Linked DNA regions of Stegostoma tigrinum. The protein of the gene in region 2 purifies or fractionates together with the protein of the main gene of each other region. This does not show direct contact. Links are inferred from orthologs where the notes say so. Each region holds a gene or a part of one and is shown on either strand. Other genes may lie near its edges.

What was found. Proteins that work in one complex are often made in the same cells at the same time.
Region 1: the proteins of dgcr8 (region 2) and srpk2 purify together in Homo sapiens (affinity purification with mass spectrometry; 3 studies listed by BioGRID and IntAct, with this or other methods). This does not show direct contact. The link is inferred for Stegostoma tigrinum from reciprocal best matches to the Homo sapiens genes DGCR8 and SRPK2.

Annotation. Positions count from the first base shown.
Region 1 is NC_081378.1:22,540,288-22,547,845, forward strand, and holds the start of srpk2 (SRSF protein kinase 2), read left to right. Parts: upstream 1-4,548; 5' UTR 4,549-4,629; coding exon 4,630-4,645; intron 4,646-4,858; coding exon 4,859-4,919; intron 4,920-7,558. UniProt on the Homo sapiens protein: Serine/arginine-rich protein-specific kinase which specifically phosphorylates its substrates at serine residues located in regions rich in arginine/serine dipeptides, known as RS domains and is involved in the phosphorylation of SR splicing factors and the regulation of splicing.
Region 2 is NC_081379.1:5,877,167-5,884,667, forward strand, and holds the start of dgcr8 (microprocessor complex subunit DGCR8), read right to left. Parts: upstream 3,035-7,501; 5' UTR 2,738-3,034; intron 332-2,737; 5' UTR 32-331; coding exon 1-31.

The DNA.
Region 1 (7,558 bases), on a different chromosome or scaffold from region 2:
CCCAGGTATGTCCTGTACATAAAAAGTAGGACAAATCCAACTCAGCCAATTACTGCCTTCTCAGTCTACTTTTGGTCATCAGTAAAGTGATGGAAGGTGTCATCAACAGTGTTATTAAGCAGCAGCAGCTCAGCAATAACCTGTGCAGTGATGCTCAGTTTGTGTTCTGCATGGGCCACTCAGAACAGCCTTGGTTCAAATATGGACAAAATAAATGAATTCCAGCGGTGAGGTGAGAGTGACAGCCCTGATATTAAGGCTGGATTCAACCAAGTGTGACATTAAGGAGGCCTAGCAAAACTGGAATCAATCGGTATCAGGGAGCAATCTCTGGTGATTGGAGTCATACCTGACACATAGAAACATGGTCATGATTGTTGGGGGTCAGTCATCTCAGCTCCAGGACATCTCTGCGGGAGTTCCACACATTTGTATCCTAGGCTGAACCCATCTTCAGCTGCTTCATCAATGACCGGACCATCATAAAGTCAGAAGTGGGGACGTTCGCCTATGATTGCACAATGTTCACAACTATTCATGACTCCTCACGTACTGAAGCGTTCCACATTCAAATGCAACAAGATGTGGACAATATCTAGGCTAGGGCTGACAAGTGGCAAGTAACATTCACGCCACACACATGCCAGGCTGCAGGAATACTGCAACGGGTAACTCATGTCCTGACTTCCCAAAGCCTGTTCACCATTTACAAGACAAGTCAGGAATATGATGGAATACTCTCCACTTGCCTGGATGAGTACATCCCCAACACCGTTCAAGATGCTTGACATCGTCCAGGACAAAGCAGCCCGTTTGATTGGCACTACATCCACAAGCATCCACTTGCTCTACTACCATTGCTCAGAGCAGAGGTGTGTATTATCTACAAGATGCACAGCAGAAATTGACTAAAGATCCTCAGACAGCATCTTACAAATCTACGAATACTTCCATGGAGAAGGACAAGGGCAGCAGATACATGGGAACACCACTACCTTCAATTTCTTCTCCAAGCCACTCACCATCCTGACTTGGAAATATATCACTGTACCTTCATTGTCGCTGGGTCAAAATCCTCAATCCAGAGCAGGTGCTCTGCAGTAGTTCAAGGAGGCACCTCACCACCATCTTCTAAAAGGCAACTAGGAACAAGCAATAAATACTGGCCAGTCAGTAATGCCCACATCCCACAAATGAATAAAAAAAGTGGAGAGATTGTTTCCCTTTCTGTCCAGGTCCAGAGGGCATAATCTCTGAGCAAGAAATTGCCCATTTAGGACAGAGATTAGGAAGCATTTATTTGCTCAGTGGCTAGTGTCATAGAGTGTTACAAGTCAACAGCTCAGATAAAGGCTGAGTCTGTATTGGTCAAAAACAACTGCCTAACTACACTAATGTCACTTTTCGGCATTTGGCCCATAGTCTTACAAGCCTTGACATCATATGTGTACATCGAAATACATCTTCAAAGTTATGAATGTTTGTTCCTCGAACACCTTTACAAGCAGTGAGTTCCAGATTACCATCACCCTCTGGATGAAATAAAATTCCTCACATTCCCTGTAGGCATCCTGTCCCTTATTTTAAATCTATGCTTTAAATCAGTCATTGATTCCCCCAGCAAGGGGAAAAGTATTCTCCTGTCTATACCCCTCATAATTTTAAACATCTCATTTAATAGCACACTGTCTCCTCTTCGAGGAAAACAAACCATTCTATCCAATCCCTCAGAATCATACAGTCAAACAGCATGGAAACAGACCTTTCATTCCAACCACTGCATGCCAAGCAAAATTCCAAAGTAAACTAGTTCCTCCTGCCTGCCTTTGCCTATCTCCCTCCAAGAATTTTGATTCATATCCTTAGCCAAATGTCTTTTAAACATTTTAATTGAACCGCATCCACCACTTCCTCTCAAAGTTCATTCCATACATGAACCAATCTCTGCTGAAAAAAAATGATCCTCATGTCTTTTTTAAAATCTTTCCCTTCTCACCTTAAAATATGCCTCCTAGTCTTGAAACCCCCCCACTCTAGAGAGAAACCTTTCAGCTTATTCATATCCGTCGGGATTTTATAAACCTCTAAAAGGTCATTCCTCAACCTCCTACGCTTCAACGAAAACTGTCCCAGTCTATCCAGCCTCTCCTTTTAACTCAAACCTTCCATTCCTGGCAACATCCTGGTAAATCTTTCCTGAACCTCTCTAGCATAATAATATCCTTCCTTTAACAGGACACAGTGTTCCAGAAGAAGCCTCACCGACATCCTGTACACCTTCAACATGACGTGCTAACTCCTACAGTCAAGAGTCTGAGCAGTGAAGATAATGAATCCCTCCTTAACCACTCTGTCTATATTGGACGCAAACTTCAAAGAATTATGGACCTGAACTCCTAGGTCTCCATTCTACACTACTTCTGTATACAAGTACATAACTCATGAAAGGTGGTTGGACATGTTGAAGAAAACAGTTAAAGTATGTGGGCGGCCCGGTGGTTAGCATTGCTGCCTCACAGCGCCAGGGACCTAGGATCAATTCCACCCTTGGGTGGGTGATACCCAAGGCCCATCTATTAATTGTATAAGTCCTGAACTTGTTTATTTACCAAACTGCAATACCTTGCATTTATCCAAATTAAACTCCATCAGCCACTCCTCAGCCTATTGACCCAATTGATCACGATCTGTTTGTAACCTGATGTATCCTTCTTCACTATCCACTATACCACCAATTTTAATGTCATCTGCAAACTTACTAACCATACCTTCTGTATTCTCATCTAAATCATTCATATAAATGACAAACAAAAGCGGACCCAGCAACAATCCCTGTTGAACACCGCTGGTAACAGGCCTCCAGTACAACAATCAACTCTCTCCGCCACAATTCTGTGTCTCCTGTTGTTAAACCAATTTTGTAACTAATTGGCAAGCTCATCATGAATCCCATGCTATCTAACTTCACTAATTAGTTTACCATGCAGAACCATGTCGAAGTAAAAAGTCCAAGTAAACAATGTCTATCACTCTGCCCTTACCAATCTTCTTGGTGACTTCTTCAAAAAACTCAATCAAGTTCGTGACACAAGATTTCCCTAATGCAAAAATATTGCAACACCCCCTCCTCTTATCTTCTTGTGTTTTGTCTGAAGACCCTAGACTCTCCAGTATTGAACTGTCAATTCTGCTCCTGTCTCAACCATGTCTCAGTGATAGCAATTAAATCATCCCCCCTTGTTTTACTTCATGCAATCAACTCATCTGCCTTATAAGTCAGACTCTTTGCATTAAAATAAATATCATCCAACTTTGCCAAGCTCCCTTGTGCCTTAACTAGCATATAATTTCTATGGATTCCTGACTTCCTTGCTATCTCTTTTGATTTTGGTTCCCCATTGGACTTTCTCTCTGGATCGTACTGCTCTGCCAAGTTAGTTTAAACACTCCCCATTAGCGCTAGCTCACCTGAATCTGTACAATTCTTTACTACATATGGCTGTTGCAGCTGCATTAGTAAGTATATTCAAGTCGGACATGTACAGATTTTTAATCAGTAAGGATATGGCAGGAAAGTGGAGACAAGAAATATGAGATTAACCATTTTCTCAATGAATAGCAGACCAGAGTCAATAGGCCAAATGTCCTACTTCTGCTCCTACAACTTATAGTCTTACTCCCTGTTCCTATGACCTGCAGTGGTAATATGCATATAGCAAAAACTTGTATTAACATAGCACCTTTAAAATGATAAAAACATTCAAAGTAAGTTGGCAATAGTATTACAAAGTAAAATGATGCTGAGCCACAAATAAATCTCCTAAAGGAGAAAAGATAGATGGAGATAGAGGGTATTCTGAAGTTCAGGGCCTTGGCAACTAAAGGCAGGCCATCAGGAGAGGTATGATTAAAATTAAAGATGCCCAAGTGATCAGAATGGAAGAATGCAGACTTCTCAGAGGAGCATGAAGCTGTAAAAGATTACTCAAATATAGAATTCTGCTGTTAGAGATTAGAAAATGTTTGCCAAATGATTCTTCCAGTACTTACTTAATACAAATGAAGTTTTAAAAAGATAACACAGAAGGAAACTTTGTAAATCAGCTTTGATTGATGTACAAATATACCAGACATTTGGTTAAACAATATTTTACATTAATGGAAAATAAGTTGAAGAACAGTCAAAGAAGGTTGCACACAAGTCCACATCTTTGACATTGCATGAACGCAATATTTTTAAAATAAACACAGGTAGTAAAGCAAATGAACATGATTATCAATACATCAAACGACGGATATCTGTGTTGCTTTACATCTCAATGTGAAACAATTTATTTACTCATTCAGGGTTAAATGATAGATTTTTACGTTTCGTTTGTTGTTAGGAACGTTGTCTTGTAAGGAAACCGAAATATTTATGTTCGAAGCATGCACAAACAGAGGGAGGTGTAATTATACCTTTTGCTTCTTCGATGTTTGAATATATATTATAGGCCCTTTAACTTCCGAGTTCCCATCTAAGGCACGTGACGTTAATTGTGTACCGGTCGTCCAGTTTCCTGTGCTCGAGCGCTGGGAAGTTGACGGTTGCGCCTGCGCGCGGCTCCGCGAGGACAATCCTGCTGGAAAATGAGTTCCAGGAAAGGTGAGGGGAAAAAAATAGGAATTAACGCGTTTGTCCACTAGTCTATTTAAACGTCAGGCACTTTTCTTTTTAGAAAGGAACACATCACAAATAGAAACAAACCTCCTTACATTACACGATTGCCTGGATATTTTGTTTTGGTTGTTAAGTGCTAGGTATATTTAAAATTATATTTATATAATTTCCTCCTTGTTTTCCGTCTTGTCTTGTCAGTCCTGGCTATTCAAGCTCGAAAGAGGAGGCCGAAAGGAAAGAAAGAGAAGGCTCATAAAAAGTGAGTAGTGCAGAGTGTGGCTTGTGTAAATTGATGCTGCTTCTCTGCTCTAGATGTTTCGGGATCTGCTAACGGCGCTTTGGTCTTGGGCAGAAAAAAAGCTTTATTCATTGAATGATGGCATAATTTTTAAAAAAAACTCGATATTTGTGCTTATACACTATTGCATCCTCCGTGATGTTTATTCCATTGCTTGGTCCTAACATACGTTTTTAGAAATGACGGCCTTTTTGTTGGCATTTTGTCTAATCTGGGCTTGACCGAATTTGGTTTAAAATATCCAGTGTAAGTTAATTGTTTTGAGAAAGTGCCATCAACTGTAATCAACTGTTAAGATGAAGTCTGCTTTCTTCGGTGTGGATAGGAGTTTTCTTTGTAAACTATTGACATTCTCATGTAGTTTTGAGATGTGTGAGCCATTCAGATTGGATGTGCATGTTATGTCACTTCGGTATGATTACTTGATGATCGTTTTGTCTCAAACATAACAGCTCCTGTTTTTAATTTGTATTGTACTGTATATTTTGTTAACATTGATTTAATGTTCTATCTCTTCCCACTATCACTTGGCCCTGTGCTGCATCACATAGTGGAATTATCCACTGAGCCATGAGGGAGTGATGATGATTGGTTTGGTACTTGATGGAAATTCATTTAGTTCTATGGTAACTGCATTTGTGTCTGATGCCTGTGCATTTCCTTAATATTTCAATTTTCATCCGTTCCATGCATGACCACACAATAAAGAGAGGAGGCAAAACTTTTGTCCTGGAGGAGAGATTGAGTATTATTGGTATTCATACTGATGACATTTCACTCTTGTAACAACAAATTAATTTTGTATACAAGTCACTGAATGCCAGTAACTTGTTTGATTCTAAATTTGAGGCTCATGTAGTTTCAAAATTTCGTGCTAATTATATTTGTAAATTTGTGGAACATCTTTGCTTCTAAAGCAACAGTGAGAAGATTTTTTTTCAGTGCATTGTTGCACGTGTGTGTTTGTGTTCTAGGGGTGAGCTTCATTGAATCAATAGTTTAATATATTCCTGGCATTGTTATGGTGCTGAATAAAATATTCATCCATTGACCAACGAGGTATGAATAAATTCACTTTGGCTCGAAGTTGGACCTTTTTAATGTTTGAACCAAACTGGTGTGTAACTAGTACCTTTTTAATCAGAACAAATTAAAGTAATAAAAGTGCAAAATACTGCTGATGCTGCAAATGTGAAATAATAACAGAGAATGCTGGAAATACTCCTCAGGCCTGGCAGCAACTTTGGAGGGAGAAAGAGAATGCCATTGACTTTAAGCATTAAGTCAATTCTGGGGAAAAAAGTCAGACATTTTTGGTTTTAAACAAGTGTAGAAGTGGAGGATGGTTGCCAAGTGCAAGAGGAATGTCCTGTGGCTAAATGGAAGACAGAAACAATTCAATGATGAAAAGACTAGTGGTACTAGGTAAAAAGAGATGTCAAGGAAATAAAGATGAATCTATTGTAGGTGTAAATGGGGGGGAGGGGAGGCGGGGGTGAGGTCACTGGTGCAGCTTTTGCCTGCTCTTAACGTTTCCAGCATTTTCTATCTTTTTTTCATGTTTTCATCCTTTTTTTCTTGCTATTCCAATATCTTTTATTGGTGTTGCTTCTTGCTCAAATCAAGAATTATGTAAGTGATCAGTTGCGAACAACAGGCTTTAATTAGGTGATATGAATTTGCTTAATGTTTTGAGTTCTTTAGCTTAGGTCTTGCTGTTGGATTACTTTTATATTGGCGTTTAGGTTGGAATCTGGATAGCTGATATCAAAAATGTGATTAGAAATAATATTCTCACTAAAGAATGCCAGATCCTTTAGTTGGTGTTTCCCACCCAGAAATTCAAAGCAAGTTAGTATGAAAATTGCAGATGCTAAACCATAATCTTCCTGATCTGTCTTCATTCAGGAATTCTTTTAGGTTTGAGAATTGAAAAAAGAACTCCATAATTTAAGAGGTGAGAGAGCAACCAGAAAATTATAGACCTGTTTAACATTGGTTGTGGGAAAGTTATTGCAATTCGTAATTATGCTTGGGAGAAATATAAACTTAGAGAGTCATAGCGTCATACAGCATGGAAACAGATGCTTTCGTCAACCGTCCATGCCGAACATAATCCCAAACTAAACTAGTCATACCTGCCTGCTCCCTGGCCCATATCTGTCCAAAACTTTCCCATTCATGTACATATCCAAACATTTTAAATGTTGTAATTGTACCCACATGCACACTTCATCAGAAAGTTCATTCCACACGTGGACCACCGTCTTTGTTTGAAAAAAAATTGCCTGGTCTTTTTTTAAAATCTCTCTCCTCTTGCCTTAAAAATTGCCATCCTAGGCGTTAACACTATCCACGCATAGAACATAGAACAGTACATTACAGTACAGGCCCTTCGGTCCACAATGTTGTGCAGGCCCATTATTCTAATAAGATCAATCTATCCTACATACCCTACATTTTACTATCCTCTATGTGCCTATCCAAGAGTCCCTTAAATGTCCCTAAAGTCCACAATGTCCCTTCGGTCCACAATGTTGTGCAGGCCCATTATTCTAATAAGATCAATCTATCCTACATACCCTACATTTTACTATCCT
Region 2 (7,501 bases):
GCATAGGTGGCATGCTTCCAAACGTCTCCATTTTTCGAAACTTATTAATTCTAAGCTATAAAGAGTCCTAAACAAATTATATCTTAGTCAAATACCCAACTAAGAAAGAAACATATGCCAGTCCGAGTAAATTTTCTCAAAAGTTATGGTACTAAGCAAATTTTACAGATGATTCAGTTAAGCTGACTACATTGTTCTTTTCATTAAAGTAGACAGCTTTTAGAATCACTGTCTCAATTATTGGAAATCACAATGTATTCAGCTTAATCAACGCCTGCGATTAGATAGAATTCATCATCTTGAGTCCTTGACACCATCTTCTACTGATCACCTGCAGAGAAACAATAAAATGCAATAAATACAACTGAACCAAAAAAGATTGTGTGTGAACTACTGGAGAAACTCTAGCTGTTAGAATAATGCCTTGCATTAGCATAGCACTCAATTTCCATTCTGTTCTCTGTTCAAGCTGTTTTTGCTCATTCATTCATTCTCGTCTACTTTAAGTATTAAATAAATGGACTAACAACTTTACTGATGCAGTGGAGAAACACATTTTAAACTAATGCATGAAAGCATTTGTACACAAGTACCCAGCAAATAAAATTTCAGAGCTGAAGTTTCTAGGTACTGAAAGTACTGGAAAAAGTATTATCAAGATTGATTACGTTGTTCTTATTTCTAAATAAAGAGTTATGTTTTGCTGAGGCATTTTATTCTCCAGTTTTATTTGGTTTCCCCCTGGTGAAGCCAAAATAAACTATTCCAAAAGCAATCTTTCATTTTGTATCAAGTCTGCCTGAATAAGTATCTCAGACTATTATAATCAGCCAAATCAACAACTTGTAACCCGGCCAAATCCTTTTTAAAATCATTCATCAAACAGCAAGCAAGTAGTCAGCAATTAAGTAATACATACATTATAGTAATGCAAAAAAACTATCCAAAATCTAAGTCTTCACTTATCAAGATGTAGAAAATGCTTAATGTCAGAACACATTAAACACATACATCATTTTGACAGAGGGGAGAATTTTATATTTATCATAAGCCTCTCAAAGCACAGTTATTCAAATGTAGCCACTACTACACTAGCAAAGTATAATTATACATATAAAAATCATAATTTTCAAATTTGATACAATGAATTAAGCAGCACAGCACAAAAAAATCCAATCTGCAGATTAATCAAATTTCAGCCTGACAATTCCATTCCAGACTTTAAAAATAACTAGATGATTCCAAAATATCTAAACACTTTGACTTAATAGTTCATATTCTAATATATCAAAGGAAAAAAAAGCATTAGAAATCGATGTAAAGTTATTTCTAGTGAAAGAAAATTGGTCATATAGTAGACAGTGAAGGTTATCTAAGATTACAAAGAGATCTTGACCAATTGGGTCAATGGGCAGATGGAATTTAATTTGGAGAAGTGCGAGGTATTGCGTTTTGGTAAAACAACAAGGACAAGACTTATACAGATAAAAGCAGGGCCTTGGGTAGTGTTGCAGAACAAAAAGATCTAGAATTTCAGGTAATTCTTTGAAGTTTGCATCGAATGGGTGGTTAAGGCGGCATTTAGCATACTTTCCTTCATTGCTTAAACCTTTGAGTATAGGAGATAGGACATCATATTGTAGTTGATGAGGCTTCTTCTGGAGTATCTTGTCCAGTCTGGTCACTCTTATATGAAGGATATTATTAAACTGGCAAGGGTTCAGTAAAGATTTACCAGGATGTTGCTGGGATTGTGGGATTGGAGGATTTGAGTTATAAGGACAGGCTAAGACTTTTTTCACTGGTGTGTGCGAGGTTGAGGGATGACCTTATAGAGGTTTATAAATTCATGAGGGGTACAAGTAAGGTGAATAGTAGGTATCTTTGCCCTAGGGCAGGGAATTTCAAGTCAAGGGGGCATACTTTTTAGGTAAGAGGAAAAGGTTTGGAAAAAGGTTTTAAGAAAAAGGACATAAGGGACAACTTTTTAAAAAAGTGCCATTCATGTGTGAAGTGAACTGCCAGAGAAAGTGGTAGATGCGGGTACAGTTACAACTGTTGAAAGATATGTGGATAAGTGCGTGCATTGGAAAGGTGTGGAGGGATTTAGGCCAAGCGCAGGCAGGTAGGACTAGTTTAGTTTGGGGTTATGGTCAGCAAGGGCCATTATGGTTGAACCGAAGGGTCTGTTTCCATGTTGTGTGACTGTATGATAACTCAAATCCCTTTACTTCCTCCGAAATATTAGCTCCCTAACAGCTTTTTCTAAACAAAAAAGAGAATCGATCTTTTCATAAATTCCAAACATGCTGAGCCTTTCAGTGATCTTCGCTGTAGCGTTACGTCTGGTGAAACATGGTTAAACTCGATGGAAGTCACACAGCAACAGGCCTTTGATCAGACTCATTCAGCTCCACTCATTCAACACGAACCCGGATCTAACCAGGGGATTCAGTTAAAAATAAACAAATCCCTGCACCGACTTAAAAAGAGATACTGAGTTCCAGTATAAACCACCCCTCTGTCTAATTTAACATTAAAAGTTAAGCGAGAAGCCAGAAGGAGCCCCCTCCCCCAGGCGTGATCTGAGGCCTAGCCTAGACTTCGACAGAAACAAAGTATTGACTTCGCAAAATCGCTCCTCGGAGACTAACCGTGGTTTAATGGTTAACGATTAAATAAATAGTGCCGTCAAGGCTAAAATTTATGCTAGCTTAGTGCAAAATTAAAATCCTACCGTAAAAGCTCATCACATCGAAAAAAAAGTCAGATAATTTCACGGCCCTCCCCGCACCCAAAACCTCCGGTACCAGCCGCAGCTCCAACTTCGTCAAAGCGCATGCACAGCCTTGAAGATTGATATCTCGGTCAGCCAATCGACAGAAGCGTAAAGGAGGGGGGGTGGGTCTCCGGACTGTCAATCATCAACGGACCGTGCCACCCCCGGCACGCATGCGCCACAGGCTTCGCATTACTAGTTTATTGCCTCGATCAGCAGCCATCCGAACCCGCTTGCTCTTTGATAAGGAGGGGTAGAGCTGGATGAAGACATCACGCCCAGGGGCATCTTAGGGGCAGGAAAGCTGACGTTTCGGGAAGGGTCTAGGCCCGAAACGTCAGCTTTCCTGCCCCTAAAGTGCTGCTTGGCCTGCTGCGTTCATCCAGCTCTCCACCTTGTTATCTCGAAATCTCCGGCGTTGGCGGTTCCTATTATCCCCGCCTTCTCTTTGCCAGCTCGTGACAGCGCCGCTATATTTGCGCGACTGTCGGTGATTGACGAACGGCCTAACCAATCGCCAACCAACCATCGCGGTGACGGCACTAGATTGGAGTTCATGTCAATCATCGGTTCGTCCCCGCCCATCAAATGCGCATGCGTTTTATAGTCCACTGACAATCACCATGGCAGTGAGAAGGAATTTGTGAAAATAGGTATAGTCTTGCTTTACAAAAAGGGAGATGAGATGAGATTGTTTTTTTTTCGAAATAGAGAAATGCTTGTTTTTATTCATTCATAATACTTGTACGCCGGTATTAAGGAAGGGGGTGGTATTCGGTTAGCTCAGTTGGTTGATTTATGTGATGCCAAGAGAGGCTGAGGTTACTATGGTGACAAATCGAGTTAAACCGCCGCTAGTCACTGAGGTGTACAGCACAGAAACAGATCCTTCAGTCCAACTCATCCATGCCAACCAGATATCTTAATCTAGCACATGTCCCTCTCCACCTGATGAAGGGTCCAGTACTGAAGCGTGGACTTTCCTGCTCCTCTGATGCTGCCTGACCTGCGATAGTCCTCCAGCTCTACACTGTATTGGCTCTGACTCTAGCATCTACAGTTCTTTCTATTTCCTTCTAGACCCTTTCTATTCCTATACCCATGCAGATGCCTCTTACATGTTGTAATTGTACCTCTAATTGTATGTCCTCTAATTCCATTCAAACACCATCCTCTACTTGAAAACGTTGCCCTTTAGTTCCTTTTCAAACTTTTCCCTTTAACTTATGCCCTCTGGTTTTAGACTCCCCTACCCGGTGGAAAAGACCTTGTCTATTCACCCTATCCATGCCCCTCATGATCTTAGCAACCTCTATAAGGTCACTTCTCAGCCTCTGACGGTCCAGGGTAAATAGTCCCAGCCTGTTCAGCCTCTCCCTGTAGTTCAAACCCTCCAATCCTGGCAATGTCTTTGTAAATCTTTTCTGAACTCTTTCAAGATTCGTAACATTTTTCTATTAACAGTGAGACCAGAACCAAACACAATACTCCAAAAAATTGCCTGACCAATGTCCTCCACAACTGCAACATGACCTCCTAATTCCTGTACTCTATAATAGTAGGAACTGCAGATGCTGGAGAGTCCAACACAACAAGGTGCAGAGCTGGATGAACACAGCAGGCCAAGCAGCATCAGAGGACCAGGAAGGCTGACGTTTCGGGCTTAGACCCCTAGCCCTCTGATGCTGCTTGGCCTGCTGTGTTCATCCAGCTCTGCACCTTGTTGTCTCCTGTACTCAATGTATTGACCAATAAAAGCAGGCATAGCGAACACTTTCTTCACTACCCTGTCTACCTTCAACTTCACTTTCAAGTAACTATGAACCTGCATTCCAAGGTCTCTTTGTTTGGCAACACACTCCAGAACGTTAGCATTGTGTACAAGTCCTGTCTTGATTTGTCCTAGCAAAGTGGAGCACCTAACATTTGTCTAAATCAAACTCTATCTGCAACTCTTCAGCCCATCGGCCCATCTGATCAAGGTCCCATGGTACTGAGGCAACCTTCTTCACTGTCCACTACCTGACAAATTTTGGGGTCATCTGCAAACGTATTAACCATATCTCACATCCACATTATATTCACATCCAAATCATTTATTTAAATGACAAATAACAGTGGACTCAGCACTGATCCACACAACACACCTCTGGTCACCGGCAACCAATCCGAAAAGCAAACCTCCAACCACACTCTCTGTCTCCTACCTTTGAACCAATTTTGTCTCCACATGGCTAGTTCGTCCTGTATCCTATGCGATCTAACCTTGTTAACCAGACTACCATGTGGAACGTTATTAAACTCCTCAATGACGTCCATATAGACAATGTCCACTATTTTGCCTTCATCAATACGCTTGGTCACTTCCTCAAAAAAATTCAATCAAATTCGTGAGACATGATTTCCCACGCACAAAGCCATGTTGACTATCCCTAATCGGTGCTTGCCTTTCCAAATACGTGCAAATCCAAATTCCAAATTCAGAATGCCAACATCTCTGTCCAATTAGAGAGCAGTACTGTTGGTCCAGCAAGACTGTGATGACCTTACCTTCGCTTATCTTTACCTCTGCAATGATAAATTGGCAATAAATGCTGGCCTACTTCTAACTGCCTTGGAGAAAGTGCTGTGGTCGAATTGGTGCAAGGGCACTCAGTACACTGTTCCTGCCTTTTCCCCCTATTCATTGATCCCTTCAGTCCAAAGAACTGTATCCAGATTTTCGTTGAAAGTCTTCAATGTTTTGGCCTCAAGGCTTTCTTGTGCTAGAGAATTCCACAGGCTCACCACTCTGGGTGAAAGAAACCTCCCCTAATCTCTGTCTGAAAAGATCTTTCTCTTATTCTTACACTGTGAACCCTGGTTCTAGACTCCCCAGCCATCAAGAACACCCTTCCTGTATATACCCTGTCTAATTCTGTTAGCATTTTATAAGTTTCTAGGAGATACCCTTTGTTCTTCTAAACTCCTGTGAATATAGTTCCAACTGATCCAGTATCTCCCCACTCATCAGTCTGTCCATCCCAAGAATCAGTGTGCTAAACCCCCTTTGCACTACCTCCTCATCCAGAGCATCTTTCCTCAGATAAGCAGACCAAAACCAAACAATACTCCAGGTGTGGTCTCACCAATGCCCCGTACAGTTGCAGCAAGACATTAGTGCTCTTGTACTCAAATCCTCTCGCTGTGAAGGCCAGCAGACCATTTGACTTTGCACAAGGACACCCAGGTCTCATTGCTGCATCTCTTTCCCCATTTATTGTCATTCAGATAAGAATCTTCCTTCCTATTTTTATTACCAAAGTTTTATTACCTTACATTTATCCACATTATACTCAATCTGTCACATGCACACTTACTCCAAATTGCACTGCAGCTTCTCTGCATCCCCCTCACAACATAGCCTCCTACCCAGGTTTGTGTCATCTGAAAACCTGGAAATATGACACCGAGATAACAAAGTGTGGAGCTGGATGAACACAGCAGGCCAAGCTGCATCTTAGGAGCACAGAAGCTGATGTTTCGGGCCTAGACGCTTCATCAGAAATATGACACCTAGTTTTCTCAGCTATTGTGAATAGTAGGGTCGAAGCACTGATCCCTGCAGTACACCACTCGTCACTTTCACCTTAATAAGCAGAAAATTGCAGTCTACATCAACCCTTGAAAGAGCATCCCACCCAGACCCAACCACCTTATTCCTGTCACCCTGTATTTCCCGTGGCTAATGCACCTAACCTACACATCCCTGAACACTATGGGTAATTTAGCATGGCCAGTCCACCTAATTTGCACATCTTTGGACTGTGGGACAAAACCAGAGCACCCAGCAAAAATCCACACAGACATGGGGAGAATGTGCAAACTCCACACAGACAGTCGCCCGGGATCGTAGGGCTGTGAGGCAGTGGTGCTAACCACTGAGCCACCATGCCACCGCTTTCTGGTTCAGCAACATTGACACACTGCTGTCTGTAAAGCGATGTTCATTGTTCATTTGATGGTTGATTTGGTGGACCCATGTCTTTTATACTAAAGTTCTTTCTTTTAAGTTTTCTTGGTTTTATTTCCTTTCCAATTGTACTGCGAGAAGGGGAAAGAGATGTTTTCAGTTCGTTGGCTTGGAGGTCTCTGGCTACTCTGATTTTACTTGAACAATATGAAGGCTGTCACCAGGCTGATTTTCCCTACCTCAAAAATTCCTTGTGCCACACAGATTGAATAATGTATCAAACTCATTGCTCCAACTGCAAAATTCTCTTGCACAGTCAAAAATGTACACCACTTAATTTTTCTAAATTGCAAAACTCTAATATTTCAGCTATATTGTGGTCCAACTTCCATTTGAGTTTACAGTGCAAAAGGGAAAAATATACGGTTCCTTACAGTAGAGAAAATGTTGGAAAAGGTCAGCCAGTCATGCAACACCTGCCACATCACCTTTCTTAACTGCTCTGTTTTCCAACATTTTCAGATTTTATTTATTCCATTGCTACAATATTGGTCTTCTATCATTGTCTCACCTGTTACTGACACGGAAATCTTTGTCCATGTTTTCATTACCCATAAAACATAATTCTGTAATGTCCCCATCAACAATCTCCTGAGGTCCATCTTAGTGAGCTCTTTACACATCATGTTATTTAGGTTTAAATAGAACTGCTAATAATTACCCAGCATCTCACATGTCAAAGGGGTTCCTGCCTCAGGTTGGTGTTTTAT